Linked DNA regions of Oryctolagus cuniculus. Each later gene encodes a partner of the first gene's protein in a complex. Links are inferred from orthologs where the notes say so. Each region holds a gene or a part of one and is shown on either strand. Other genes may lie near its edges.

Region 1 (5,724 bases):
AACCCCGCCCCTTTAAGACCTGCTATGAAGTGACCTTCAGCGCGAGTACCTGCCTCCCAGTCCATCCCATCCTTGCCGCCTGTTCCTTCCCCAGGTCTGGCCCACACCTCCCACGCCCTCCCACATGGAAAACTTCATGATTCTCAGAGTGCTCCTTGGTGCCATGCCCGGTGAACAAGGCAGCTTTTATCCATCATTCTGGCTCCAGCCCAAAAGCTTATTCTTTGGGGCAGCACTGTGGCATAGTGGGTGAAGCTGCCACCTGCAGTACTAGTGTCCCACACGGGTGCCACTTCAAGTCCCGGCTGCTCCACTTCTGATCCAGCTCTCTGCTAATACGTCTGGGAAAGCAGTGGATGACAGCCTGGGTCCTTGAGCCCCTGCACCTATGTGGGAGACCTGGAAGAAGCTCCAGGTTCCTGGCTTTGGCTTGGCCCAGCTCCAGTCAATTTGGGTAGTGAACCCACAGATGGAAGATCTGACTCTCTAACTCTGCCTTTCAAAGAAATAAATCTTAACAAAACAAAAGCTTGGGGCTGGCACTGTGCTGTAGCGGGTAAAGCCACCACCTGCAGTGCCGGCATCCCATATGGACGCAGGTTCAAGTCCCAGCTGCTACACTGCCAATCCAGCTCTCTACTATGGCCTGGGAAAGCAGTAGAAGCAGAAGATGGTCCAAGTCCCCTGTGCCCACATGGGAGACCTAGAAGAAGCTCCTGGCTTTGGATCGGTGCAGCTCTGGCCGCTGCAGCCAGTTGGGGAGTGAGCCAGCGGATGGAAGACCTCTCTCTGCCTCTGTGTAACTTTCAAAAAAATTTTTTAAAAGGCTTATTTCTTCTATGAAGTGATCCTAGACCTCACTTTCCAGTAGCCTAGAATAGGAACCACTTACATTTCTTTTTTTTTTTTTTTTTTTGACAGGCAGAGTGGACAGTGAGAGAAAGGTTTTCCTTTTCCATTGGTTTACCCTCCAATGGCCGCTGTGGCCGGCGCACCGTGCTGATCCGAAGGCAGGAGCCAGGTGCTTCTCCTGGTCTCCCATGGGGTGCAGGGCCCAAGCACCTGGGCCATCCTCCACTGCACTCCCTGGCCATAGCAGAGAGCTGGCCTGGAAGAGGGGCAACAGGGACAGAATCTGGCGCCCCAACTGGGACTAGAACCCGGTGTGCCGGCGCCACAAGGTGGAGGATTAGCCCATTGAGCCGTGGCGCCGGCCTATATCTTTAATTTTTAAAAAAATATTTTTATGTATTCGATAGGCAGAGTTACAGAGGGACACTGAGAGGGAGACGGCCTGGCCCAGCTTCTTGTTGCTGCCATTTGGGGAGTGAAGCAGCAGGTGGAAGACCTCCCTCCATCTGCCATCTCCCCACACCAGCGAGGAGCTGGATTGGAAATGGAGCAGCCAGGACTCAAACCAGCACCCGTATAGGATGCTAGCACTACAGGCTGGGGCTTTAACCTGCTGCACCACAGCACTGGCTGGCCCCTACCTTTCATCTTTAAAATTGCCCGTTTCTCTCTTCCTTCCCACACCGAGAACTGTTGGATACCCCTGGAGCTTGACATGAGAATTCACATCTATGCTAAGTGGACGTCAGTGAACCTCATCCTTGTCGCTTATTAGCTTGTGAACTTGGTCAAATTATCGGACACGGAAGAGCCCCGATTTGGGGGTCTGTGGGGCTTGGGGAGGCCATTTCATGACCCAGGGCCTCAGTGTGGGGCCCGACCTGCAGCACTGCCCAGGCGACGCCAGCTAGCATTTGAATCTCTTCCCCTCACTCGGGCAGGTAGTACCACCGTGTCTTCTGCTCAGGGCCTTCCCAGGTGCAGAGAGAGCACCATGTCTGTGGTCCCTTGCAGCCTTTGCTGTTGATGGGGCCCTGGTGGCTGACGAGCAGGCTCATGTTGTGTGCAGAGTCTGCCATCTTGAGGGCCACTTTGGCTGCCCAGTCAAGAAACCACTTAGCAAAGTTTCCAGTCCACAACGGTGGGAGACGTTCTCCTGATAAAAGGGGACTATTTTTTTTTTTTAAAGAAAGTCCTTTCCCCTAATTACACCCAGGTAATCATCCACCTTAAGACCACTGCTTAACGTGGGCACTGACAGTCTATGGAGTCCCTGTTTTCACCTGGGGCCGAGTGGGAGACACTCCCGTGTTGTCAATGGGCGGCAGCCAACTCCCACACGGGATCTCAGACTCTCTGCCATGGCTCATCTAGTTTCACAGCTCCTGTTCCGAGGCATGAAATCCCAGGATTGGGACAAGAAGAGACTTGCCCTAACTCTCACATGTGACCCTGGAGACTCCAGAGTTCAAGGTTAGGCTCCAAATCCTACCTATACACTCAACTGAATTTTCTCCGGGAAGAGTTGGACACTCATGCCTCCTCCTCCTATCTCCCACACACTAGAGACAGCACCGATGTCCGCCAGTGGAGAGGACTGGTGATCGCACCACAGGGGTGGACGCAACTAGAGAGAAGTCTGCCCTATTGTCACAAGAACCTGGGACCCCCGTCTCCCCCCAGCCCCAGACTTGCCCCGAGTCTCACTTTTCATCTCATCCCTTGCTTTCTCAGAGAGCGTCAATAGCTTCATCTCCTCAAAGATGTCAATGGCCATGGTCCAGGCAGTGGGCCGTTCGTAATACTCATGCAAGAGGGAGGCCAGACTCTCCGTGTTGGCGTTGTCCACTTCAGTCCACGGGAGAGCACTCGTCGTTGACCTCGAATGCTTTTTCCTCAGCAACTCCTTGAACGTCTGCAGTTCTTCCTTGCTCAGCTCCTTGAGACACCACTGCAAACCGTAGTTGGAAAAGGAGACCCATTGGTCATCTTCCTTCGTGACACAAGGCTGAGAGCTCAGATTTTGGTCAGAGAGTAGATTCTTCGGTAATTTGGAAGAGATAGGATCTGTGGGAAGAGGAACAAGACCGAAATTTGTGGCAAGTTTCCAGGTTAACACATCGGACCTCAACCGACTCATTAGATGAGCATCCTCTCCTTTGGTAAGACTTCTTCCTAGACAGAAGGCCGGTCACCATTGCACCTGCTTATCCTGTTGCTAGAAGTCCCGTTAGTTTGTCAGACAGCACCTGGCACACTCGGAGGAGCCAAGAGAGTTCGTCCGAGAATTTTCAGGACTCAGACAAATGGCTCTTCAGTTTTTAGCAGTTCTATGGGTTTTTAAAGATCAATTGTGCATGTTAATATTGAATTACAGTTTTATAAAATGTTTGGAATATTAAAATATTTGGTATAAGCCGGCGCCGTGGCTCAATAGGCTAATCCTCCACCTTGCGGCGCCGGCACACCGGGTTCTAGTCCCGGTTGGGGCGCCGGATTCTGTCCCGGTTGCCCCTCTTCCAGGCCAGCTCTCTGCTATGGCCAGGGAGTGCAGTGGAGGATGGCCCAGGTGCTTGGGCCCTGCACCCCATGGGAGACCAGGAAAAGCACCTGGCTCCTGGCTCCTGCCATGGGATCAGCGCGGTGCGCCGGCCGTGGCGGCCATTGGAGGGTGAACCAACGGCAAAGGAAGACCTTTCTCTCTCTCTCTCTCTCTCACTGTCCACTCTGCCTGTCAAAAAAAAAAATATTTGGTATAAAATACATATTTGGAAGTCCTATTGATACAGGACTTATATCCAAATATAAAAACTCTGAAAAGGGGGGACAAGTGATCTAAAATGGGCAAAGGATCTGAAGACATTTCTTCAAAGAAATACAGACAAATGAGTCTATGAAGAATCCTTGGCCCTCAGGACAGCTCCTGCTACTCACACCTTGCTCGGCTCATCTTCTAGCTGGCACGAGGTCAGATTCCACAGGGAAACAGTGGGGGGCCTTCTGGGACTCCTCATGGATCCCGGAGCCCATCAATGGTACTGAACCCTGTATTTGCTGTGTCTCATTTGCATATACACCTCTGATAAGTTTACAGATCAGACAGTCTTAATAGCAACATGCTGTAACGGAAGTCGCACGAACGTGCTCATGAGACTTACAGCATATTGCCATGACGTGCTGTGCCTCAGACAGAGATGGACCACAGGTGGCTGCCACTAGAGGGAACCCTGCTGTCATGCCACTGCAGGAGGGTGTGAACTTCTGTGCTGTGGGCTCCAAGATTTGAGGGGGAGCCCAAGTTTGACTTCTGTGATTTTGATGACACACCCCTGCCTCGTTGAGGAAGTCGGGAGTCAGAACCACATCTCCCAGGGCTGCTGCGCGGCTTCCGTGAAGTGAAGCACTCAGCAGGACGGCATAGCGTGTATGCAAACCTTACAGCACCCTGGGATCGAGGCTCCAGAGGCACCGTCCCAACAGTGGCGCTCAGGCTTAAGACACTGCTGGGTCATGTTCGGATTTGTCATCTCACTCACCTGTGGAACCTAAAAGGTCAAGTTCATAGAAGCAGAGGGTAGAATGGTGGTAACCAGTACCTGGAAGGGGCAGATGTCAGTCAAAAGGTACCCGTTTTGTCTGGGGCCACATCACTCTGAATGTGCCTGCGTTACCTGCTCTCTAAGCAGGATAGGATCCAGTTAGCACATGGATGGAGACCTCCCGAGAGCGAGTGCTGGTTAAAGAGACTAAATATTGAAAATCAACTTGCATTTTTTTAAACTATGTACAGGTTTAAGAGGAGTGTTTGAGAGATCTACAGCACAGCACCGTGAGGGTAGTTAATATATATGTCAATGTTGCTAAATGAGACTTTAAATGTCTCACCATAGAAAATAGGTACGGCGATGGGTATGTTCTTTCTACAATATATGCATATCAAAATAGCAACCTGTACTCCGTAAACACAGTTATTGTCACAAAAATTGGCTTCGGATTTAAACTTGTGGATGTGCAGGTGAGGTGAGGTATCTATCTTCTCACAACCCTAGACCACCTAAAATTCAGGACATGGAGATTTAAGATCTAATCCAGGCCGGCGCCGTGGCTCACTAGGCTAATCCTCCGCCTTGCGGCGCCGGCACACCAGGTTCTAGTCCCGGTCGGGGCGCCGGATTCTGTCCCGGTTGCTCCTCTTCCAGGCCAGCCCTCTGCTGTGGCCAGGGAGTGCAGTGGAGGATGGCCCAGGTGCTTGGGCCCTGCACCCGCATGGGAGACCAGGAGAAGCACCTGGCTCCTGGCTCCTGCCATCGGATCAGCGCGGTGTGCCAGCCACAGCGCGCCAGCCGTGGCGGCCATTGGAGGGTGAACCAACGGCAAAGGAAGACCTTTCTCTCTGTCTCTCACTGTGCACTCTGCCTGTTAAAAAAAATAAAAAAAAGATCTAATCCAGTCTACAGCTTCTAATTAACCAAAATAGACGACTTCTCAGTACTCTAGGGAAAATATTCCTATTTCTATGAGTGTTGCTTTCTGTATCGACTAAGGCAGCTACAGTAACAAGTTGTTTTCCCTCCAATCTGGAATAGACACATCAGTTGCTCCAAAGAGAACAAACACAAGATTAAAAATGCCCTCAAGTCCAAAATGTCTGTAGCACCTGTTGACTTGGTTAATTTTTATCAGTATCGTGCCCCTTGAAGGCAAGGCTCCTCTGTGTAGGCAGATGGACTCCAATTTGCCAGCAGAAATTCTCTACCATGTAAATAGATGGGCCCTGGGCCGGTGTTGCCAGACGGCGGGTTAAGGCCAGCATCCCACAGTGGGGCTCTAGTTCAAGTCCTGGCTGCTCCGCTTCTGATCCAGCTCCCTGCT
Region 2 (5,308 bases), on another chromosome or scaffold:
TGACCCAGGTGCTTGGGCCCTGTACCCGCATGGGAGACCAGGAGAAGCACCTGGCTCCTGCCATCGGATCAGCGCGGTACGCCGGCCGCGGCGGCCATTGGAGGTTGAACCAACGGCAAAAGGAAGACCTTTTCTCTGTCCACTCTGCCTGTCAAAAAAAAATTCTGGCTCTTCAAAGCTGTGCTGGTGAGGGTAGGAGCTCTTTTGCAGATTGGTCATCACTGAATGGGTAAGGAAAACTACTCAGCCCCCAAGGAATACCTGTGCAACAAGAGCAAGGAAACAGCCAGCTCCAATGCAGGGCACCCTCTGGTCGGCCAAGGGGCCCGCCACCCTGGCTTTTCAGTGGTGAAACTTAGTGCCATCATAAATGCTGGTAGTCTAGGCTAGGCCTGTGTGGGGGAGAGCAACTCACATGCAATGCAGGAGGCACCACTCAGAAAAAGGCACACCTGGTGATCTGAGGGGCAGACTACCAGGGTTGAAGTGAGAACCTCAGAGTTGCTTTGGTCTTACACACAAGTTTGTTAGAAATACAAATTAGGGGTCAGTGCTGTGGTGCAGGTTAATCCTCCGCCTGCAGTACAGTCATCCCAGATGGACGCCAGTTCTAGTCCTGGCTGTTCCACTTCCCATCCAGCTCCCTGCTAATGACCTGGGAAAAAGCATTGGAGAATGGCCCAAGCATTTGGATCCCTGCCACCCACAAGGGAAACCCAGAAGGGGCTCCTGGCTCCTGCATGGCTCAGCCATCTGGGGAGTGAACCAGCAGATGGACTCTGTCTCTCCCTCTAACTTTCAAGTCCGTCTTAAAAGTAGAAGTTAACAGACCTTAACCACATCTTGAGTCAGCATCACTGGACAAAGGGGGCCAGCGTTGTTGTGCAACTGGTTAAGCTGTTGTCTGACACCGGCAATCCATACTGGAGTGCTAACTCCATTTTTAAGATTTGAAAGGCAGAGTTACAGAGACAAAGAGGCACAGAGATCTTCCATCCACTGATCCATTCTCTAAAGGGCCAATCTGAAGCCAGGAGCCTAGAGTTTCTTCCAGGCAGGTTTCTGGCTTAACCTCAGCCATTTGGGAAGTTAGCCAGTGAATATAAAATCCATCTCTAGAGGCTGGTGCTGTAGTGCAGCAGGTTAACACCCTGGCCTGAAGCGCCCGCATTCCCATATGGACGCCTGTTTGAGATCCAGCTGCTCCACTTCCGATCCAGCTCTCTATGGCCTGGGAAAGCAGGGGAAGATGGCCGAAGTCCTTGGGCCCCAGCACCCACGTGGGAAACCCGGAAGAAGCTCCTGGCTGCTGGCTTCAGATCAGCGCAGCTCCGGCCGTAGCAGCCATCTGGGAAGTGATCCAGCAGATGGAAGACCTCTCTGCCTCCTAACTCTTGACTTTCAAATAAATAAATCTTTAAAAAGGAAAAAAAGATCCATCTCTGCCTTTTCCTATCACTCTGCCTTCCAAATTTTTAGAATAGGAAGAGCCTAGGGAACTATTTTAACGAGCTCTCAAATTGATGACCTATCTCAAAAAAAAAAAAAAAAAAAAACCCTAAGTTTCAAAATAAGAGGGGAAAAAAACCCACCTCCTGCCAGCCTTCTACCCACCCCTCATGTCAGATAAACACTCAACCTTTTATAGATTTAAGTAAGCAAAAGTTTATGTCATTGGACAAAAAAAGTCCATTTATTCGAATATCTCTACAAATGCACATTCACATCAGAAGTACTGTCAAGTCACAGGAAAAAGGAATGTAGGGATTAGGGTCACCTGCTTCTCTCCAAGTTTAGAAAAAGCAAGGCTGTTCTAATGCTCTGCTCCTGGCCGTAGTCCTGTGCTCTAAGTATCGAGATGCAGGGGAGCGTCCGGCCCCGATGAACGAGTCTTCAGGAACTCCTCAAGGTGCTTCATCTTCTCCGCTGGAAGAGAAGCAATGGATATCAACCACAGGCAAGGGAAAATGTCGGCTGTTCCCACGTGCTCCGTGCATACAGGAGACGAGGGCGGTGCATCTGGCAAAGTGGGGAGAGGTGAAGGCTCTGAACGTGCCGTCTGGCAACAGGGAAGCAGCCTAGCGAAGGCTGACTTGGGCAATAAGAAGCTTGAATGCATCAGATCTTTGCTTACCTTCCCTAGGTCCTACGTGCACCCCCCCCCCCAAAAGGACCCCCTGGGTCTGCGGGCAGCTTCTGGGGTTTGGGAATGGCAGTAAGTACTGATAGCTACAGGAGGCTGGAAGGGAGCTGAGCAAAGCCAGAGGCTTCCTCCGCCTGCAGCTTCTCCAACAGCCTCACCTCGCGCCACACGACGTTCTCGGTGCCATGACGCCAGGCTCAGGAGAATGCTCTTCACCCGGTTCTGCACACGGGGCCGTGCGTGGACCGTGATTTCCACTAAATTCCCGGAGTCCACTGGGTCCACCCTCAACAGGGCCTGGCTCATCCACTCCATTTCCGGAATCATGGCGCGGTCTGGGCCTAAACAAGTAAGGGGAGAGCAAGTGGAGTCATGGTCAGATCAGAAGGAGCTAGATGTGAAGGTAAAGATGGCCCGGGAAGGGATGAGCCACCCACAGAGCCAGAGCACCCCGGAAAGAGGCCCGGGAGTGGCTCGAGCCTCTCAGACTGGAGTCGCACTAGCAGCTCACCAAAGATCAAGTCCGCCACCCATGCCTCCAGGTAGAACACCGCGGGGTCTTCCAGTTCCTGCACCGGAAACCACCACGGCCGGATGTGAATGCGCGGGGGCGGCAGTGGATGTGGAAACCTAAGTAGGTCCTCTGGGCGGGTCAGCTTCAATGGGTGCTGCCGGGCCTCAGCAGCTCCAACGTCCGTGTCCATGTTGAGAGCAGCAGCTGAAACCGTTCGCACCAACCACCGGAACCTTGCTCCAGACCCGGCAGGCCACGCGGGCTCTTTTATGGCCCAGGTCAGCCCCGCCCACCCGGCAGCAGCACGCCCGCCCAGTTCGGAGTGAGTCTGCGCAAGGCACTCTGGCCCCAGACTTCTTCCACCTGAAATTAGTATTGGTTTGAGATCCATTTGGGTCTCAGGCACGCTCGCTTGGTCATCATCTCTGCAGTTTAAGGTTTCACAGTCTAGGCCGGCGCCGCAGCTCACTAGGCTAATCCTCCGCCTTGCGGCACACCGGGTTCTAGTCCCAGTTGGGGCTCCGGATTCTGTCCCGGTTGCTCCTCTTCCAGGCCAGCTCTCTGCTGTGGCCCGGGTGTGCAGTGGAGGATGACCCAAGTTCTTGGGCCCTGCACCCCATGGGAGACCAGGAGAGGCACCTGGCTCCTGCCTTCGGATCAGCGTGGTGCGCCGGCCACAGCGCGGCGGCCGCGGCAGCCATTGGAGGGTGAACCAACGGCAAAGGAAGACCTTTCTCTCTCTTTCTCTCTCTCTCTCTCTCTCTCTCTCTCTCTCTCTCTCTCTCCACTCTGCCTGTCAAAAAAAAGGTCCCAGCCCTAACTCATACCTGATTAACAGTTTGGATTGTTAACCTTGTTGACTGGGACTCACCTTAAGAGCCTGCGTTAAGATTTGCGTAGTTACCTTCCAAAGACAGGTCAGGCCCTGGGCAAGCTCGAATTTAAGGTTTTCTTGTGTGCTCCTTGTTATCGTAGGACTCTGGATGGTTGCCATTTCAAAAATCATTCAGTGTCGTGGTTTTGTTTGTTTGTTTTTGTTTCTGTTTAAGATTTATTTATTTATTTGAAAAGCAGAATTATAGAGACAGAAAGATCATCCACTGGTTCACGCCCCAAATGGCCACAACAGGTGGGGTTGGGTCAACCAGAAGCCAGGTGTCAGGAGCTCCATCCAGGTCTCCCACATGGATGCAATTAGGTCATCTTCCCTTCTATCTCAAAGTGCATTAGCAGGGAGCTGGATGGAAAGTGGAGCAGCCAGGACTTGAATCAGCACTCATATGGGATGCTGGTGGCTAAGCTAGTGGCTTAACCTGCTGGGACACAACGTAAGCCCAGTTCTTACACATTTTCTATTACATTTCTAGAATTGTTCAGCAGTTTTAGAATAGATACTCATCACATCTGCTATAAAAACTCTTATAATTAGCTGTGTTTTTTTTTAATCTTTTATATGGAAATGTTCTATCACTTATATAAGAAAAGGTACTATTATTAATGCGCTGAATCCCTCATCCAGAGGGCTCTAGGCTGCAGTTGTCATCTATAGATAATATCGGGCAGGCATTGTGGCATAGTAGGTTAAGCCTCCACCTGCAATGCCAGCATTCTGTATGGACGCCTGTTAAAGCCTGGCTGCTCCACCTCCCATCCAGCTCCCTGCTAATGTAGCCTGGGAAAGCTCTGGAAGATGGCCCAAGTGCTCAGGCCCTTGCTACCCACGTGGGAGAACTGAAGGAAGTTATGGGCTCCTGGCTTTGTCCTGGCCTAGCCCCAGCTGTTGCTGTCTTTTGGGAAGTAAATCAGCAGTTGAAAACATTCTCTCTCTATCTCCCTCTCTCTTTCTCTCTAACTCTGCCTTTCAAATAAATAATATTATGTATTCTTAAAAACAATAAAAATATTGAGTGGAGATAATCTAATTTTAGTGGTATTTACTTCTGTATAATTTTTAAAAATCAATGTAATGCCTGCATATTGTTTTTAAAAAAAGTGTTGATGATATAAATATGTGAAGGTTCCTGTTTCATATACAAGCATTTTCCTGCAGTCTTTACTACTCCTTTTTCAACTGTGTATATTATGAATCTCTCCTTACCATTTAACTTGTCTTTTCATTTTCTTATGGTGTCTTTTGATGGACAGAAGTCTTTATAGTATAAAGTACTTCCCTTATCACGCTTAAGAAATCCTTTCCTAGGCTAGGGGTTCAAGTCCCAGCTGCTCTGCTTCTGATTCAGCTCCCTGCTAATGTGCCTGGGAAAGCATCAGAAGATGACCCAAGTCTTTGGGCCCCTGCATCCACATGGGAGACCAGGATGAAGCTGCTGTCTCCTGGCTCCTGCCTGGCCCAACCCTGGGCTGTTGCAGCTATATGGGAAGTGAACCGCAAAGGGAAGATATCTCCCTCTCTCCCTCTCCCTCTCTCTCTCTCTCTCTCTCTCTCTCTCTCTCCTCCTCTCCCTCTCTTTCTCCCCCTCTCCCTCTCTTTCTCCCCCTCTCCCTCTCTTTCTTCCTCTCTCCCTCACTTCCTCCCTCCCTCCCTCTCTCTCTCCCTCTCTCCCTCCCTCTCTCTCTCCCTCCCTCTCACTCTCTCTCCCTCTCTCCCTCTCTCTCCCTCCCTCTCCCTCTCTCCTTGTCTCTCTGTTAAC
Region 3 (5,149 bases), on another chromosome or scaffold:
TTGAAGCAAAAGTCCTCCTAACATATCCTAGAGATCTTACCGTGCTCCACTTCCAGCCCACTCCCCACTGGCATTTTCCTTGTTTCAAGATTTATTTAGGGGCCGGCGCCATGGCTCACTAGGCTAATCCTCCGCCTTGCGGCGCCGGCATACCAGGTTCTAGTCCCGGTCGGGGCACTGGATTCTGTCCTGGTTGCCCCTCTTCCAGGCCAGCTCTCTGCTGTGGCCAGGGAGTGCAGTGGAGGATGGCCCAAGTCCTTGGGCCCTGCACCCGCATGGGAGACCAAGAAAAGCACCTGGCTCCTGGCTTCGGATCAGCACGATACGCCGGCCGCGGCGGCCATTGGAGGGTGAACCAACGGCAAAGGACAACCTTTCTCTCTCTCTCACTGTCCACTCTGACTGTCAAATATATATATATATAATAAAATAAATAAAAAAATCCTTTAAAAAAAGATTTATTTAAGGGCCAGTGTTGTGGCCTAGGGATAAAGCACCACTTGTGATGCCAACTCCACTTGGGATCCAGTTCCCGGCTAATGTGCCTAGAAAAGCAGAAGATGGTCCAAAGCGCTTGGACCCCGGGGCCCCCACAAGATGTCTCCGAGAGAGAGACAGAGAGAGAGAGAGAGAGAGAATCTTCCATATTTTGGTCCACTCCCCAAATGGCCACCCACAACAGCCAGGGCGTGGCCAGGCGGAAGCCAGGAGCCTGGAAGATTTATTTATTTACTTGAAAGGCAGAGTTATAGAGAGGCAAAGTCAGAGAGTGAGAGAAAGAGAGAGAGAGATCTTCCATCAGCTGGTTCACTTCCCAAGTGGCTGAGCTGATCCAAAGTCAGGAGCCAGGAGTTTCTTCCAGGTCTCTCACGCAGGTGCAGGGGCCCAACGACTTGGGCCATCTTCTACTGCTTTCCCAGGCCATAGCAGAGAGCTGGATTGGAAGTGGAGCAGCCAGGACTAGAACCAGTGGAGCAGCCAGGACTAGAACCGGCACCCAAATGGGATGCCGGCACTGCAGGTGGTTGCTTTACCCCCTACACCACAGCGCTAGCCCCCAAGTATCAAATTTTAAATGAATATTTAATTTATATGATTAATATCAACACATTCGGCATTTAACAAAGTGTCAATGATTAGATGTCCTCTTCTCTCACACAGGTCCCACTTCTAAGGAATGATATACATCATACGCGTGTTATGATACACATCAGTCCACAAGGGCCCAGCAAATGCCTGCAATGTGCAAATGTTGTTCTAGGCACTGTGGCCACACAGATAAACAGAAGAGAATTCCCACCCTCATGGTACTTCCAATACCTACTCTATTCTAGGGAGACAGCAGGGAAACCAAAGTGAACAAAATCTTCTTTGTGGAATTTAAAGCCTTAGGAGAGTAAAAAGAGACTATTAGATTTACAAATGTAGCGTGTTTTAAGTAGGGCAAAAGGGGGCAGAAGTGAGGAATAACTAATGTACACCGTGTTCTGAGATTGCTCTATAGAGAGGTCTGAGTGGAAACTTAAAAAGGAAAATACCTGAGGGCTTTTTAAGTTTGTGATTTATTTCATTAGGCAGAGTTACAGAGAGAATTTTCCATCTGCTGGTACACTCCCCAAATGGCTGCGATGCCCAGCCGACCTGGAGCCAGGAGCTTCTTCCGGGTCTCCCACACAGGTGCAGGGGCTCAAGTACTTGGGCCATCTTCCACTGCTTTCCCAGGCCATAGCAGAGAGCCGGATCGGAAAAGGAGCCGCTGGGACAGGACCCGGCGCCCCTGTGGGATACCAGCACCGTTGGCACGCTGTATTTTTCTTCTGAATTTTTTCTGAGAATAAATTGTCCCCCATGAATGAAGATTATGTGTTTCAATATTTAATTATAACGCCCAGCTGAAAGCATCTTTCAGCTGATATCGGCCAGAATCCGTGAACCTTAGCTCCGCTCTCCTCCCCACCCCCGCCTCCGCCCCCTCGGAGCCTGATCCCCTGGCCCACAGTGCCCACCCGCGGTGACTACAGCAGGTCACAGGGGCCCAGTCGCCCTTTCCCTCCTGACCCAAGCTGGCAGTGGCAAAGTCACAGCTCGAGATTTCGGATCGACAGCGGCTCCAGCCAAAGAGGAGCAATTACTCAACAACGCTTTAAGCCGAAACATCAAAGAAAAGAAATAGCGTCGTATCACTTGGAAAATGGAGGCAAAAAAAAAAAAGTTTCAAGGACCCCTCTCTGTTGTCGGTTGTGTGCATGGCATTAATGATGCATTAAGTAAGATACTTGCCCTTGCCGGAGCTCAGAAAACTGGGATACGGCGAGGGGGTGGGGGTGGGGGGGTGGAGCTCATTGGCCAGGGTGGGGAATTTACTTTAGCCCTGAAAGTAAAGTATCATGCCGCAGGTATCAATTCTTTTCTTTCTAAGCGGTATTGTCCAGCTGTTGGTCCCTTCTTTGGTCCCTGGTCCCTCGCGACCCGCGCGCAGTGGGCGGTGAGCCCACCCCCAAGCAGCGCGGCAGGAACTCAGAAACCGCCGCACTTGCGCCGCCTTGAAAAGAAGTCCGGAGCGGAGGCCGGGGGTCCAATGAGAAACGCGCCAGCGGAAGGGGCTGGCCAAAAGCCCTTGAAATACTGCCCCAGCCGGGCCCCTGCGCTCGCCGCCTCCGTGTACGCCTACCTCCATCGCCGCCCCGGGCTTCTTGCTGCGCGGTGGCCCCCCGCGAGGCTCCTGCAGCATGGCCACCCCCAAGCGCTTTCAGACGCTCGTGCAGCTGCAGCAGCGAGAAGGGGAGCTGTGCCAGGTGCTCGGGAACCTCACCAAGCTGCCCAACTGGTTCCACTCCGAGTTCCTCAAGAGTCCGAAGGCAGTTCACCTGGAGGCTTGGCTGGTGGAAGCGATCTTCGGTGAGTGCACGGGTTAGAGGCGGCCCGTGAGGCCTCGTTTGCCCACCCGCCCCGCATCCCTCAAGGCCTGGCCACGCCCCAGCTCCAAGCCCTCCTTTCGCCCAGGATCCTAGGAGACACCCCTCTGCTCACTGCCTCCCTGTTCCCCGCGCAGGCCCCGGCGGGGAGCACATCCCGCACGTCGAGTGTGTCTCCCACACCCTGCTTCATGTGAACCGATGGGACCCTGACGGCGAAGCTGAGATCTTGATATGTGGGCGACCTTATTTTCAGAAGGATGTATCCAAGCTGATCATGAACTTGGCCGACTATCACCGCCAGCTCCGGGTGCAAAGTATGGGCCCGGGAGAAGGCAGGGCGACCCCCAAGCGATTTCTGGCTCCAAGGGAGGGATCCTGGTGTCTCCTGGCTGCCAGGGCAGCAGGCTCGCTTTTCCCCTTGCCCCGAAGGGTTTCGTCTCTACCAGGGATCGAGAAGGCCAAACTGGCCCCGCGTCCTGGGGTTCCGGCCCCCAGCCTCTGTCCGCAGGATGACTTGCCTTTGGGAGGAGGAGGGTGTGGGTGACAAGGGCGCAGTCTCCTCACACCGCTCTACTTCCAGGCTCAGAGAAGGTCCAGGTGCAGGAGGCCGGCACGCAGCGGTCTCCAATCGAAGTGCGCGAGGCCGGGACGCAGCGGTCTCCAGTCAAGGAGCGCGAGCCTGGGACGCAACGGCCTCGAGAGGCTGCCGAGGACCCGGTTACCAGGCTATGAAGAGCCAAGAGCGAGAACCAGCAAGGGCTTCAAGTGCAGATCCCTCAGTAATTCTACTCTTCTAGGTCCTACTGCTGCCCTAGAAGCTGGGGCAGAACGCTGCGGGTGTTTTGTTTTCCCCCTCTGTGTTAATTGCGAGTTTAAGTTTAAGGAGTTCTAATAAAACGAGTTGCATTCCCCTGGCGTGCCTTAGTCGGAAGGTTACCAGGCTTGTTCTTCTAGCAGCCAAGATCTGCTTTACACGGCCTTCCCCTCCGGGGCAGGTGAGGCGCGTTGGGTGTCTGCCGCTCTGGGGCGGGTCCTCCCGGGTTGCGGTCAAGTGTCCCCTGGGGCGAGGGCTCTCGGGCTCCCTGAGCCAGCCCTCTTGGGAAACTGCAAGCCCACTGTGTCTTTTCTCATAGTAATTTAAGATGGGAAAACCTGGAGACGGCTTGCAGCCCTCCTAGATTGGAAGGGCCTCCTGGGCGTATAGCGGAGCTAACACCGGCCATTCCCACCTCGGTTGGGAGAGGATGCTGGGCTCGGCTACCCTTTCACCTCTGATCCCACTGCCTGCGTATGAAGTAGGATGAACACTAACAGCTGTGTGCTAGGATTGAACATTATCTGCATAATACTAGTGTTAGAAATTTTTTTTTCAAAGTTTATTTAAAAATTCAAAGCAGCTTAATTTTAAAGGTCAGGGGAGGCAAAGCGAAAAGCCTAAAGAGGGGTGAACTTTAAGCTCAAAATGAATATCAAAACGAATCATCAGCTTCAAGTGAGGCTGCACTCCAGCAGAAGGAACACTCCCTGTGTGCCTGCTGTTCTGAGAGTAGTACCCCTTTGACCAAAACATCAGATTCTCTGTTGCACCAGAGAGGTTGGTGAGCAGAAGGTAGCAGGCCAACAGAGCATTTAGGGGTCTGCCTATTGATATATAAGCCCAAAATTACCCTGTGTGCACACACACACACGGATGGGAGAGGACTTCGATGAAAGAACAAGGTGGTAGGACACCTCATTAAACATTCCTGGGTGGAGGCTGGAGAGAACCAAGAAGAAAAAAAGTTGAATTTATGGGCTGGCAGCAGGTATCTTTTGTCCACGTATGTGTGTATGTACATGCTTTTCCAGTATCTACCCCTTAAACTATGTTGCTTTATACAATATCCTAACATCTGAGATGGCAAGTGTTCAATTGGTAGTCAAGATCACCTTTTCAAAGGTTTATTTTTAGATATTTGAAAACCAGCATTAGAGGGAGAGATGGAGATCTTGCATCTGGATGTTCATTCCCCACATGGCTGTATCCACTAGAGCTGTGCCAGGCTGAAGCCAGGAGCCTGGAGGTTCCTCTGGATCTCCCAAGTGGATGGCGGGGGTCCAAGCACTTGGGCCATCCTCTGCTGCCTTCTCCAGCCATTAGCAGGGAGCTGGATCTGATGTAGAGCAGCCAGGTCTGGAACCAGCGCCCATAAAGGATGCTGGTGTCACAGGCAGAGGCTTAACCCACCATA
Region 4 (6,345 bases), on another chromosome or scaffold:
CGTACAGAAAGCAAGCTGCTGTGTGTGCCCCTTCCCGTCCACAGAGGGAACCATTCAAGCACATGACCTCTACCCGGGGCTGGCCGAGCTCCACCCCTCCAGGGCTGGGGGTGCTGCGACCCCACTGGTGATGATGGCTTCTCATCGAGCCTCTTGGAGGCTGTTGGCAGGAAAAACGGAGTATTTAAGATAATACGAATTTGATTCTACTAGGAAGACTTTTAAACTCTGTAATTATGACAGCCTCTTGGCCCCTACATACCCCCATCCAGGTTAAAATTGTTGAACCCAGGAATTTAAGAAAATTACTAGTCCAGAAGCTCTTCCCAGTGGTGCAAGGACCCGAAGCCTACTTAGAATATTAACCTCAAAAGAGGCCATCAAAAGCCAAAGGACAAGACAATACAGCGGTCCCCTCTCATCGTGTGTGCGTGGGGGGTGTTAATACTCCAAGACCCCAGTGGGTGCCGGACACCACATACACTGGTGTCCCCTCTCTCTCTCTCTTTATGTATATATATATATATATGCCTCTGATGAAGTGTTACTTAAAAATATTAGGCCCATTAAGAGAGTAACAACAATAGAACAGAATAATTACAACAGACTGTAGTGAAAGTCAATTAAAACTTATACATTGTGTATTGCTGGGATTTTCCACTTCATAGTAACAGGCGGTGGGGACCGTGGGGTAACCCAACCCACGGAAAGTGAAACCGGGGCTGAACTGTACCGTCTACCGTGTGGCACACAGGGAGGCCTAGGTGCCTGCCTCCTCTTCAAGGCAAGACCAAACGTTTGTCCTGGAGACCCACTCTCCACTTTTCAAAACACTGTCTGGTGCGTTATTTCGATCCTGGTCACCCGCATGTGAGCTCTTTTCAAAAGGCACGGACCCCACACATGTTTGCGGTACCGCGTGTTCAAGCCAAAATTTTAGAAAGTGAAATTTTAATTTAAGAGAAAGTTCGTGGAAAATGGAATGAAAAGGAGTTTATTTTAGTACCAAAAATCGTATATACGAAGGGTCTTCAAAGAGCTCATGGAAAATGCACATTGTGAAAAAGCCACACACAAACCTCACATTTTCTCACCAGAATTGATCTTTTCTTTCCATTTTCCATGAACATTTGGAACTACCTGTGCAATTCACTCTGCTATTTCACTAGATGCAGATAAATTTTAGCCCCTCTATCACCATGCCGATTTCAGCCTTAGGAAAGAGCTCACTTTGGTGGTAAACCTGAGTTTTCCTTCACACTGCCCAACTGCTCCAGATGACTTAGACACATGGGCAGGGACAGTTTCAGACGCAGCTCCCGCGTCCCTTACGTAATCCTGTAACCCATTCAGGCAGGTATTGCCCCATTCCACGGATGGGGAAAGGAAGTCAGAGGGAAACCTACTTGCTAAGTCAACATAAATAGCTTTCAAAAAACATCCTTGTTGGGGCCAGCACTGTGGTGCACCGGGTGAAGCCTGCTGGCATCCCCCTGAGCACTGGTTCAAGTCCTGGCTGCTCCACTTCCGATCCAACTCCCTTGCTAATGGCCTGGGAAAGCACTGGGGGACGGCCCAAGTGCTTGGGCCCCTGCATTCTCATGGGAGACCAGGAAGAAGCTCCTGGCTCTGGCTGTTGCAGCCATTTGGGAGAGTGAACCAGTGACGGAAGACCTCTCTCTGCCTCTCAAATAAATAAATCTTAAAAGAAAAAAAAAAAAAAAAAAACCCTGATTGTACAATTGGTTCTCTCCTCCCTGCTCTGTCGAGGAGAGGAAGCACAGAGCAGCTTCCCAAATCCTGAAGTCAAATGTTTCCTGAAAGGTCTCCGTTCCCTACGGCTTCCTGAGAATAACCCAGTGGGAAGCCGCAGTTTCTTAGGGTTTTCATTAAAACCTGCCAATTATTTGCAATAAACCCGAGTACACATTCCACCCCTGCACTGTGATCCTGTATTATTTTAAAAATTCTTTCATTCCGCTGTTGTCCCAATTTTTAAAATGTGCGAGATCAATGCTTCAAAAAGACGAAAGTATCTCATGGATCCTGAGACCAACTGGAAACGGGAAGACGAGTGAGGCATATCCAGGGGTCGCGGGTTTGCATGTCTGAGGGAAAAGGAAATTCGTGTTTTCTGGACCCGTTCTTATCTGGGGGAGGATAAAGGGCTCAGCTCCACCTGGCTCCTCAGCCACCTTCTGCACTCCTTGGACAGACGCCAAGTGCACACTCCTCCCAGCTCCGAGGTGCACTGCAGCCTCTGTGTCATTGTGCGTGACATCACTGGGCTGCTATGGGTACAGGTGCGAGGTCACTCGCCTTCCTGTGAAACTCGGAACATGGCAGAATTAAAGCCTAAATAAAGGACACGAACCGGAGATATTCCCAATAGTGTTGAGCAGATATTAAAAGTGCGACTTGCATTATCAGAGCATTAAAACGTTAAGAACTACCAACTCTGTGGATGTATGAAAACAGCACCATCTCCAATTTCAGAACAATGACCTTCCTCAACAGGATAAAAAAATTTTTGTTAATATCTGTAGCTGGAGCAAGGATAACAGACCAGCCTTGTCACCTTGCTGCTCAAGAATGAACGTAACCCACACCGCTCTGAAGGTGCAGCCTTAAACCGCAGCCCGAGAGGCGTTCTAACCCTGTTACATAAGGCAGGAAGTGAAATACTAAGGCGGTGGGAGCCCTAAACCATCCGTTTTCCTGCGTCTCCTTCAGCAATAGCCCCCCTCCCCTGAATTCACACTGCGGGCCGGGGCGAGCTGGGGCTCCTGACAAAATGGTGCAGCCGGGGGCAGGGACCCGCATCCCGCACAGACCAGACCGCGGGGCTGAGCGGGGCTGCCTCTCCTCCAGGGCGAGGGGCAGGAAGCTCCGGCGGCTCCCAGAGCGAATTCCTGAGCAAGGGCTCGCTCCCCTGGCCGCGAAGTGCTCCCTGCCTCCACCCAGTCTAGGCTCTCTGCAATATGACAAATGCAGAACCTTCTGGAACGCCTGGATCCTGCCTCCCACCACCGCTTTGTTTGCAATATCAGATCAGACGGACTGTGTGCCTATATCTCTATATATTTTTTTTCAACTTGTAGGAATTTCAACAGACGCGTGCCTGTGTTCAAAGAAGAAACAGGGAGCTAAATTCTCAACGTTTATTTTCAGGGCGATACCTACCCTTTCCAATGCAAGAACACAAGGGGAAAAAAATGGAGATGACATATTGAGAACAATCAATGGAAACGCCAGCGAGACAAACGCCCCCCCCCCAAAAAAAAAGGGCAGGGGATGCGCTTTGGGCCATGGAGCTACAGCCTTTTGTTAAGAAAAACGTGAGCCAGGAGGTTTCGATTTTGCACCGCGGAGCCCAGGTTTTCCGGAGCACCTTCCCCCCCCCCCCAACCCCCACACCCCGGGGAGGGTCCAAGGGCTGGGGAGGGGGTGGCCACCCGGGAGACCCGCCGAGCGGACGGGAAAGGCGCCGCCCAGACACCAGGGAGAGAAAGAGGAACGGCGTCCATGCGGCCCCCCGCCCCCACGCCCGGCGGGGAGGAGGGGAAGTGGGGCACAAAGGATGCGCAGGGCCCCCCGCACACCCGGAGACCAGACCCGCAAGACCCCGCCCAGCGCCGCCGGGCCCCCCGGGCGAGGCCGCGTCCCCACCCGGGTCCCCGCCGCAGCCCCCGCGGGGACGCAGCCCCCGGGCTGCCGCCCCCTCCCCTGCCGTCGCGCCGGGCCTTGCCCGCCGCTGACCGCGTGCCCCCCTCCCGGAGGGACGGGGGAGCGTGGGGGAGGGGAGGAGACACTCACGTTCTTCATGGCCGCGGCCATGTCGTCGTAGCGCTCCGCCTGCTCGGCCAGTCGGGCTTTCTGCACCAGTTGCTCGCGGTCCACCATCTTCGCGGGCTGGGTCGGGCCGGAGGGGGACACCGGGGCGGCCTGAAGGGGCTCGGAGGGCGGCTGCGGCGCGGCTGGGGCCCGTGTGCCGGAAAGACCGACCCACGAGGCGAGAGGCTGAGGCGGCGGCGGCGGCAGCGGCTGAGGCGGCGGCGAGGAGGAGGCGGCACGAGCTGCGACCGCGGGACCGGGCGCGAGGCGGCTGCGGCTGCTGTGCGTGCCGCGGGCGGACAACCCCCTGCGGCCCCGCCCACGCCGCGTGACGCAAGCGGCCCCGCCCACTCACCCGCGCGCGCGCGCGCGCGCGCCCGCCCGCCCAGGCCCCGCCCGGGCATTCGCGCCGCTCGAGCTTCGGTCCCCCATCCCCCAGCTCGGCCCGCTGCGGTCTTGCGAGTGTCCTCTGCTTCCCCGCTGCCCCCCGCCACGCTCCCACCCACCCACCCCTTTTTTTTTTTTTTTTTACTGCACCCGGATTCCTTCGCCTAAGCCTCTCCAGACTCCCCTCCCCCCTTCAGGCCCCGGGCCGGCCGGGCCTAGGGCGCGCGTGGGCTCCTGGGAGTTGTAGTTCACAACGCCGTCCAACGGCGCATTGAGGAAACCGAAGACAAAAGGGCGGCCGAGACTACATCTCCCAGTGTGCATAGCGCGCAGGGGCGTGGGAGGATGGGGCTCCTAAACCGGCGGACACGGGAGACCTCTGGCGGGGACGAGGGCGGCAACGGTCGGAGCGAGTGCTGATTCACGGCCCCGCCCCATGTCCTCTGGGCAGTTACCCGGGGAGGGGCGGGGCCCCAGCCCAGACCCTGTTTTCCAGGCAGAATAGCCGGTCATGGCGGGGAGCAGGGCCCGGGAGAGGGAATGAGGGGGCGCGGACACGGTAGCTCCAGCCTGTCAGCATGGCGCTCCCCCGCGCGACGGCTGCCTGAAGCGGGGGACTCTCTGTCCCCAAGCGAGGCTCCAGGTCCGCAGTCCCCCTGGAGGCTGCTGGACCTGTCCGGGTGACACGTAGGAAGCGGAATAGCGGCTGGGCACCCTGGTTCACGTCCCCAGGGGACGCGTCGGAGCCCGTTCCTCCGCTCCGGGTGGAGCTGCAGAATTTTTTATCTCCATGACACTGCGGCTGGGGCGGGCCACCCCTCTGCCCCCACCCAGCACCTGCACCCTGACACAGGCTTATTCCTGGGTTCCACAGCGCGCACCCACCCTCGCCTGCCTGCTTTGCATCAGTCGTTCGACAGGTATTGAGCGCCTGCTATGCTCCCAGCAATGAACGAAGCAGCAAAAAAAAAAAATCCCTGCCCCACAAAACAAGCGAGATAAAAATCAATAATGTGGGTTAGAAAGCAAAAAAAGGGAGTCCAAGGAAGGGCTCTGAACCTCACATGAGTTTCTGTGAGGGGAATATTCTAGACTCTGCTAGATGTCGGAGGAACCTGTCCTGGCAGAATTTAGGAGGTAAGTGCTGCAAATACATAGATATATAGATTTTTTTTTTTTTTAATGATTCTTTCTGGCTGGATAGGAGCAGCTTCTGAAAACCTGCCGCAGGGAGGCTGCTGACATCCCCGACCCAGCCGTGGCAGGATGATAGGGCTTCAGGGCCGGGAGTCCCTCCCTTTCGTTGTAACAGGCAAGGAGTCTGCCGTGCCTGGTGTCCCCGGTGATCCTTAATGGGGGCTGCTGATGGAGTCAGGCACATAAGGGGCACCGAATGGCAGCCTAAGGAGTTCTAACTTTTTATTCTGCCATACATAGGAATGCCATGAGAGATTTTTAACCATGCCCAAAAAATTAAAAAAAAAAAAAAAAAGGATCAGTTTTGCATTTTGTCGTCGTCTTTAACTTCTCGCTGCTTGGTACTTAGAGTCTGGCTCGGAGTCGGTGCATGGCACATGTGAAATAAAGACGTGATGCAGGCAGGCAGGCATGCGTGCACTCTGGACCAGCGTGTGGGAGATGGGCTGAGTGGGGAGAGGATCTAGAAATAGTTCTGTGTCTCCCCTCCTCCAACATGGGATCTGGCCTGGCCTCTCTTACCACATCGCCCAGCAGAATGCAACCCTGCTGGTGAATAAGCCCTCCCACTTCCTTCTGTCTCTCGCAGGACTGTTCGCCAAGTCATTCCTCTTCCTTTCTCTTCCTCCTTGCAGGCCAGAGCTGACCCACCGTGGCCTGGGTCTCCCAGCTGCATGGGAACCAGCCCTCTCTGGCCACGCCAGTTGTCCACATGTGGATCAAATGTGTCAATGAGTCGAGCCCCAGATGCTGAATCCTGGGAACTTCCTGCCACATTGCAGCTTTTTTTCGCTGACCTCTTCACCCAGTTCCTTCCCCCACCAGTCTAATGCACTTGGAAACACACACACACACACACACACACACACACACACCTCGGGCCAAATCTATTTGAGAAAAATAAAGCAGATGCAAAGAAAAAGATGT
Region 5 (5,724 bases), on another chromosome or scaffold:
GTGGAGGGCCTAGCCAATGACCCGGCTCCCTGCGCATGCGCACCTGCTCCCTGGTGGAGGGCCTAGCCAATGCCCCGGCTCCCTGCGCATGCGCACCTGCTCCCTGTACCCACGAGGGAGATCCGGATGGAGCTCCCGGCCCAGGCCTGGCCACTGCCGCCACCTGGGGCGTGAACCAGACGATGGACGCTCGCCCTGTACCTGTACTCCCTCCTGTACCAGACAGCTTCCCGCCGTCCCTCACAGCCCGGCCCCCCTCCCCTGCTCAGGGCGCCCAGCGCTGCCCGCACCCCCACCCCGGGCACCTGCTGACGCCCCGTGTGTCCCCCTCCCCCGCAGTCCAAGGAGTCGTCCTCCGTCCTGAGCTGCGACATCTCCCGGAACAACAAGTACATCGTGACGGGCTCCGGCGACAAGAAGGCCACCGTCTACGAGGTGGTCTACTGACCCCTCCCCTCCCCTGCTGGCCGCAGAGACCCCGGAATAAATGTATTTATCTCAACCGGCTCTGGGTGCTGGGCTCGGGGGGTGGCCGCCGCGGTGGGGCAGGGGCGGCGAGGACCTGTGCCTGGCTCTGACCTGGTGGGGATCTGTGCGGGGACCGGCTGTCTGGGGGCTCAGAGGTGAGGGCTTGGGGGGGGGCGGGGAGATGGGTCTGGGGCCCCTGGGAGTGCACGCTGGAGCCGGTGCGGGACAAAGCCCCTCACCTGGGTTCTGGACGGGAATTCTGGAAGGAGGCGGCCCCACCCAGGGCAGGTGCACCAGGAGGCAGCGCCTGTGTGAGGGCCAGTGGCAGCTGTCTGCCCACCCGCTAGAACCGTGGACTCTGGGGGCGGGGAGCAGGCCAGGCGGACCTCCCCGATCGTGACAGCCACCCGGCACCACCCCGGCCCAGCTGCTGTCAAAGTTGAAAGGCAGGAGGAGCTGCCGGATGCCGGCATCCCAGGCCCTGACCACTGCCCCACCCGGCCCACATGCCCCCGGCCCAGCCGGAGCCCCCCCGCCACGAGGCCCAGGGGCAGCAGCCTGCTTTGCCGAGTGCTTTATTCCACGGACAGAGCCCAGAGGCTGTGAACCCCACGCAGTGCCGACGAGACCCCTCCACTACCTCCCCCACCCCCCACCCCCGGCCCGTCTCAGGAGATGATGGACGGACACGGGGCCTCAGTAGGTGACCTGGTACACGGAGGCACAGTCCCCGGCGCCCGTGACGACCAGGCGGCTGTCGCTGGACACGTCGCAGCACAAGATGGCGGTGGCCTCGGGCACCTGGAGGCGAGGGGCGGGCTGAGCCGGGGAGCCGGGGAGCCGGCCCCCCTCTGCTCCCCACTGCCTGCACCCTACCTGGAACACCTTGGCGCCCAGGGGCATCGTGTAGATGCTGACCAGGTCGTCCGTGCCCACGCTCACCCACCAGCGGCCTGGCAGAGACACGGGTGCTGAGGGGGCATGGGTGGCCCCCCCCTGCTTCCCGCCCCGCGTGGGGGCCACAGCGGGCGCCCCCACCCCGGCCCAGGCAGCTCACCAAAGGCTGAGAACCTGAGCGCTAGGATGGCGCTGTCCTTGTGCCCGGCCATGCGCGCCTGGCTGCCGTCGGGCCGCCGCAGCCACTGCTGCCCGTTTGCCAGGCCCAGCAGCAGCCAGTCTTCCTGGGGGCAGTGGGCCAGGCTCATGATCTGGGGGGGGGGGGACAGGCGAGAGGCCGGCTCGGACCCCGGCCCCGCCCTCAGCGTGCTGGTCCTTCAGGTGGGCATGGCAGAACCTGGGTCAAGCCTCACCGCCCCTCCCCCCGCAGCAGCACCGGGACAGCACCGTCCCCGCTCCGCCCCCCCCCCCGCCCACGGCCGAGCCCTCGCCGCACACCTGGGACTCCAGCGGGTACTGCAGGGGTGGCCCCGCGGCACGCAGGTCCCAGCAGCGCAGGCACGCGTCCAGGCCGCCCGCCCACACCTGCTGGTCTCTGACCACGATGCTCTTGGCGCAGTTTGGGGGGCCGGGGAGGTCCCTGCGCGTGAGAGGTCGGGGGGGGGGGCTGGGTGGGCGGCGCCGGCCACGGGCCCCTCCCGCCCTCCCGTCTCGTTCGCACCCACCCCCACTCCCCAGGGCCTGTGCACACCTGCGCCATGAATCCTCCCCACTAGCCCCAGGCCCCGAGCCGGGGAGGGGGCGCATTTAGCACATGTGTCGTCACCACCACCCCAGACACCAGTGCAGTGACGCGCCACTGACGTCACAGCCACGGCAACCGCTGAGCACAGGCAGAGGGGCGGGGCGCGGAGGGAGCTAGGACCCCGCGCCTGCCCCGCCCAGCCCCGACCCGGGCCACACCTGACCACGCTCCCACTGCGCAGGTCCCACGTCCTGACCATGCCGTCAGTGAAGCTGGCGAAAGCCAAGTTCTCGGCCGGGTTGGCGGCCAGGGCCTGGCAGGTGCCGCCGGCGCACGGCAGCTGGGCTGAGGGGCGCAGGGCCGGCGCCGCCAGGTCCCACACGCTCACGCTCGCCAGCTTGTGGCCGCCCACGAGCAGGGTCCGGTTGTCGGCGGTGAGCAGGCAGGCGCGCAGGTAGGCGCCGGGGGTCTGCGGGGGGGGGGGGGCGAGGGGGCCGTGAGCGCCCACCCCCCGCGGGCCCCGCCCCCGCGCAGGCCCCGCCCCTCACCTGCGCCCCCGGGAACAGGTGGCTCTCGGGGAGCTGGGCCTCGGCCACCTGGCCCGTCAGGCTCCAGACCTTGACACCACCCCTGCTGCAGGTGAAGGCGTGCCGCGTGAAGCTGCTCACGGCCGCGGCCAGCACCAGCTCCCCGTGCCGCAGCGTGCGGGCCTTGTCCAGCTTGTGCGGCACGGCCAGCCGCCCGTGGGCCGCGGCGTCTTCGAAATCCTCGGGGTCCCAGGAGCTTGGGGGTGGGGGCGCGGGGTGACGCGCTGACCCCGAGTCGACCCCGAAGGGCGTCGTCTTCCCCAGCCCCCCGGCCCCCCAGAACCACGCACCGCTTTCTGCCTGGAGTTTGGCAGCTCATAAGGCAAACCCTATTCACCCCAACCAACATGTCCCCTCTCTGCTCCCAGCTCTGACAGAGCCCTGCCCTGGGCCCCTCCCGTGGGGGCTCCTAGCCCCGATCCTGTGACCCGCCCGTGGCGCGGGGAGGGCCCCTGTTCCTGTCCACACACGGGGGGGGGGGTCTCTGTGCCCCACCCCCACCCCCAGCCCCGGAGACACTCACAACAGCTTCAGAACCGGCTGGACTCTCTCTGCAGGCTCCTGCGGGTGGGACGAGATCGGCCGCGTGCACCTGTGCCCGCCCCTCCCCCGGCAGCCCCCACACAGACCCGGTCTTACCCGGGCCAGGCTGGCACTCACGCGGTCATCTCGGGACCCCTCCCGGGCGCTGGTGGCCTTGGCAGGCTGGGGAGCTGGGCAGAGACAAGGGGGCTGCGGCCTGGGGGCGGCCCCTCCGGCCAGCTGCCCCGCCCCCCTCTTCCCCCGGGATTACTCTGAGTGGAGGCTCCGGCACCCATGTTCGTCCCCAGGTCGCGGGATCCCGGCTCCTTGCTCTCCTGACCCAGGCAACAGCAGAGCTGGGTCAGAGCCGAGCCCGGGCTAGCGCCTCTCGGCTGCCCAGGCAACTCGGCCCGGTCCGCTGGGGGCCCGGTTTCGCGAAGGGGTCAGTTTCTGGAAGCTCCAGGCCGTGGCCACCACGTGGCTACCATGTGGCTCCAACACAGCCTGGCCTGGCCTGCTCCGCCCAGGGGGAGGGGGACAGGGGGAGGGAGGAGGGCAGGAGGATGGGGAGGGAAGAGGGAAGGAGGGGGACAGGGGGACAGGGGGACGGGAAGAGGGGACAGGGGACGGGGGACGGGTCACCCCCATCCCACCCCCACTCCACACCCCTTCTGAGCCCCGCAGAGCACCCACACTCACCAGGCCCGGCGCCAGCTCTGTGCCTGCGACCGGAGGGGTAGACAGACAGGGGAGCAAGGTCACCGTGCACCCCCACCCCCGCCACGGCCCAGGCCGCCCCGCCCCCGCCGGGCCGCTCACCCTGGTCCCCGAGCTCACTCGCCGCGTCGTGGGGGCCGGCAAACCCCTGCCAGAGCAGCCGCGTGAGGACATCTTGCCAGAACTGGGGCTCCGGCGGGGCGTCCGCGTCCGTGCCGGTGCCCGTGCCCGGGGCCCAGGGCAGCTGCGGCGGGGGGGACGGCGGCTTCGCGCCCACCAGGGCTTCAGCGTTCGACTCCTGGGCGGTCTCGACCTCGGGGCCCCGGGGGGCCTTGGTCTTGGGGCTGCAGGGCACCCGCTGGTCCTGGCCGGCGTCAGGAGAGGCTGGGGTCCCCTGGGGCAGCGAACGAGGGGTCCTGAGAGGCCCAGGGCCCCACCCCCACCCATCCCCCCCTCTCCCCAGGGGCCCGGCGCCCTACCTCCTGCGTCGGGGTGTCCAGGGCCTGGCTGCAGGCCTCGAGCAGCTGGGAGAAGTGTTCCAGCTGGGGGGGGGGGGCGGTGCCAGGGTCAAGGCCAAGTACCTCCAGGACACAGCCCCGCACCCACTGTGGGTTTGAGGGCCGATTGTGGGCGGGCCCCCAATTGCTTCTGTTTCAGATGAAAACTCGAGGGCCACCCCTCGCCTGGGGCCCGCGGAGGCCGAGCCGCCTGCGTCCTACCTAGGCGGGGTGGGGATGGGGGTGGGGGTCCGGGTCCTGCCTGTGCCGGCCGGCCAGCTCCCCGCGCATGCGCACCCTGGATCCTGCCTGTGCCACCCAGCCAGCGCCCCACGCATGCGCACCGTGGGAGGCGGCAGCGAGGGCGCAGGTGCTGGGACCCCTGCCGCTCATGTGGGAGACCCGGATGGAGCTCCTGGCTCCCGCTTCGGCCTGGCCCAGCCCTGCCTGGGCACTGAGCCGGCAGATGGGAGATCAATCGCTCAGTCTCTCCCCCTCTGCTCGTAACCCTTTTTAAATTTTGAACGGCGAAGTTACTGGGCAGACGCGAACACCCAGACCAGCACTGCCCGGGACGGGGTAACCGGAGTCACCGCGCGGTCCACACCCTCGTCTTCCCCACCCGGAACATCGAGGGGGGCGCGAATTCAACACATCCTAGCTCACCGCACCCAGTGTCACTTCCAACCAGTCTCCACTCGCAGCCACACGTCTGTCCCTTCTGTACGGCCTCGGCGGGACAGAGACACAGAGGCCGCATCTCAAATGCTCGACAGCACGCGGGGGCGGGGAGCAGGGTGCTGCCCAGCAGGTGCGAAGCCGGCCTCCCACATGGACGCCGGTTCAAACCCCGGCTGCTCCACTTCCCATCCAGCCCCCTGCTAACAGCCTGGGACGGCGGCAGAGGAAGGGCCCACGTGCCTGGGCGCCTGCACCCACGTGGGAGACGGGACGTAGCTCCTGGCTTTGGCCTGGCCCAGCCCCCGCCGTTGCGGCCATCTGGGGAGTGACCCAGCAGGTGTGTGGGGGGGGGTCCTTCTCCCTGGCCGGCTCTCCCCTTCTCTCTGCAACTCAGCCTCTCAACTCCACCCATCGGTCTTCTAGGACAAACAGCCACACGGGATGGCGCGGGTGGGGTTAGCGTCACGGCCCCAGGCCCCCCCAGCCACTCGCAAAAATGCTCGCCGTGGGTGAGGGGTGCTCAAGGCCCCCTGCCGCACAGAACATGCGCAGAACCCCGCCCAGCGCCCTGGATAACAGGGAGCATGCGCAGAACCCCGCCCAGCGCCCT

The links.
Region 2: the proteins of NLRP5 (region 1) and OOEP are in contact, whole or in part, in a cryo-EM structure (PDB 8H93), measured with the Mus musculus proteins. The link is inferred for Oryctolagus cuniculus from reciprocal best matches to the Homo sapiens genes NLRP5 and OOEP. Residues at the interface, in NP_035990.1 of Mus musculus: Glu173, Leu176, Leu195, His196, Gly202, Leu206, Asn322, Leu325, Glu326, Tyr337, Ile338, Leu339, Val340, Glu341, Gly342, Leu343, Ser344, Ala345, Ser346, His373, Asn625, Gln626, Asp652, Ser655, Glu661, Leu662, Cys663, Pro664; in NP_080756.1 of Mus musculus: Ser26, Leu27, Arg28, Leu29, Arg30, Thr31, Arg32, Ile38, Val41, Asn43, Tyr48, Met49, Leu75, Leu86, Glu88, Pro95, Thr99, Lys102.
Region 3: NLRP5 (region 1) and KHDC3L share a complex: the UniProt entries of both Homo sapiens proteins name them as parts of the subcortical maternal complex. The link is inferred for Oryctolagus cuniculus from reciprocal best matches to the Homo sapiens genes NLRP5 and KHDC3L.
Region 4: the proteins of NLRP5 (region 1) and YWHAG are in contact, whole or in part, in a cryo-EM structure (PDB 8XI3), measured with the Mus musculus proteins. The link is inferred for Oryctolagus cuniculus from reciprocal best matches to the Homo sapiens genes NLRP5 and YWHAG. Residues at the interface, in NP_035990.1 of Mus musculus: Ser1030, Cys1031, Ser1055, Gln1058, Cys1059, Pro1060, Val1061, Glu1084, Phe1087, Val1088, Lys1089; in NP_061359.2 of Mus musculus: Phe201, Tyr216, Thr220, Met223, Gln224, Arg227, Asp228, Thr231, Ser235.
Region 5: the proteins of NLRP5 (region 1) and TLE6 are in contact, whole or in part, in a cryo-EM structure (PDB 8H94), measured with the Mus musculus proteins. The link is inferred for Oryctolagus cuniculus from reciprocal best matches to the Homo sapiens genes NLRP5 and TLE6. Residues at the interface, in NP_035990.1 of Mus musculus: Gln185, Phe188, His283, Arg307, Glu326, Lys327, Lys329, Ser330, Ser334, Pro335, Leu336, Met444, Ala447, Glu448, Trp451, Tyr465, Tyr507, Tyr508, Glu511, Glu515, Asn517, Phe520, Phe522, Leu540, Met543, Lys544, Leu547, Val571, Lys574, Leu575; in NP_444484.1 of Mus musculus: Pro147, Gln148, Pro149, Val150, Cys158, Gln159, Phe161, Leu162, Ile163, Gly165, Leu166, Trp167, Leu169, Phe170, Ser173, Arg174, Gln175, Lys176, Asn177, Ala247, Asp248, Lys249, Phe250, Lys252, Pro253, Ser255, Trp256, Leu261, Glu262, Cys265.

What each region holds. Positions count from the first base shown.
Region 1 is NC_091449.1:2,983,304-2,989,027, forward strand, and holds part of NLRP5 (NACHT, LRR and PYD domains-containing protein 5), read right to left. Parts: intron 4,449-5,724; coding exon 4,389-4,448; intron 2,920-4,388; coding exon 2,560-2,919; intron 1-2,559. UniProt on the Homo sapiens protein: Component of the subcortical maternal complex (SCMC), a multiprotein complex that plays a key role in early embryonic development.
Region 2 is NC_091436.1:99,171,215-99,176,522, reverse strand, and holds OOEP (oocyte-expressed protein homolog), read right to left. Parts: upstream 2,924-5,308; 5' UTR 2,848-2,923; coding exon 2,655-2,847; intron 2,485-2,654; coding exon 2,302-2,484; intron 1,927-2,301; coding exon 1,847-1,926; 3' UTR 1,669-1,846; downstream 1-1,668. UniProt on the Homo sapiens protein: Component of the subcortical maternal complex (SCMC), a multiprotein complex that plays a key role in early embryonic development.
Region 3 is NC_091436.1:99,181,151-99,186,299, reverse strand, and holds KHDC3L (KH domain-containing protein 3), read left to right. Parts: upstream 1-2,544; 5' UTR 2,545-2,729; coding exon 2,730-2,898; intron 2,899-3,052; coding exon 3,053-3,232; intron 3,233-3,498; coding exon 3,499-3,650; 3' UTR 3,651-3,827; downstream 3,828-5,149. UniProt on the Homo sapiens protein: Component of the subcortical maternal complex (SCMC), a multiprotein complex that plays a key role in early embryonic development.
Region 4 is NC_091450.1:44,225,020-44,231,364, reverse strand, and holds the start of YWHAG (14-3-3 protein gamma), read right to left. Parts: upstream 4,146-6,345; 5' UTR 3,904-4,145; coding exon 3,817-3,903; intron 1-3,816. UniProt on the Homo sapiens protein: Adapter protein implicated in the regulation of a large spectrum of both general and specialized signaling pathways. Binds to a large number of partners, usually by recognition of a phosphoserine or phosphothreonine motif.
Region 5 is NC_091447.1:59,662,206-59,667,929, forward strand, and holds the end of TLE6 (transducin-like enhancer protein 6), read right to left. Parts: intron 4,479-5,724; coding exon 4,380-4,478; intron 3,555-4,379; coding exon 3,491-3,554; intron 3,411-3,490; coding exon 3,327-3,410; intron 3,012-3,326; coding exon 2,659-3,011; intron 2,580-2,658; coding exon 2,329-2,579; intron 2,006-2,328; coding exon 1,864-2,005; intron 1,677-1,863; coding exon 1,526-1,676; intron 1,422-1,525; coding exon 1,345-1,421; intron 1,270-1,344; coding exon 1,165-1,269; 3' UTR 1,013-1,164; downstream 1-1,012. Other genes in the region: TLE2 (transducin-like enhancer protein 2), read left to right, coding at 340-447. UniProt on the Homo sapiens protein: Component of the subcortical maternal complex (SCMC), a multiprotein complex that plays a key role in early embryonic development.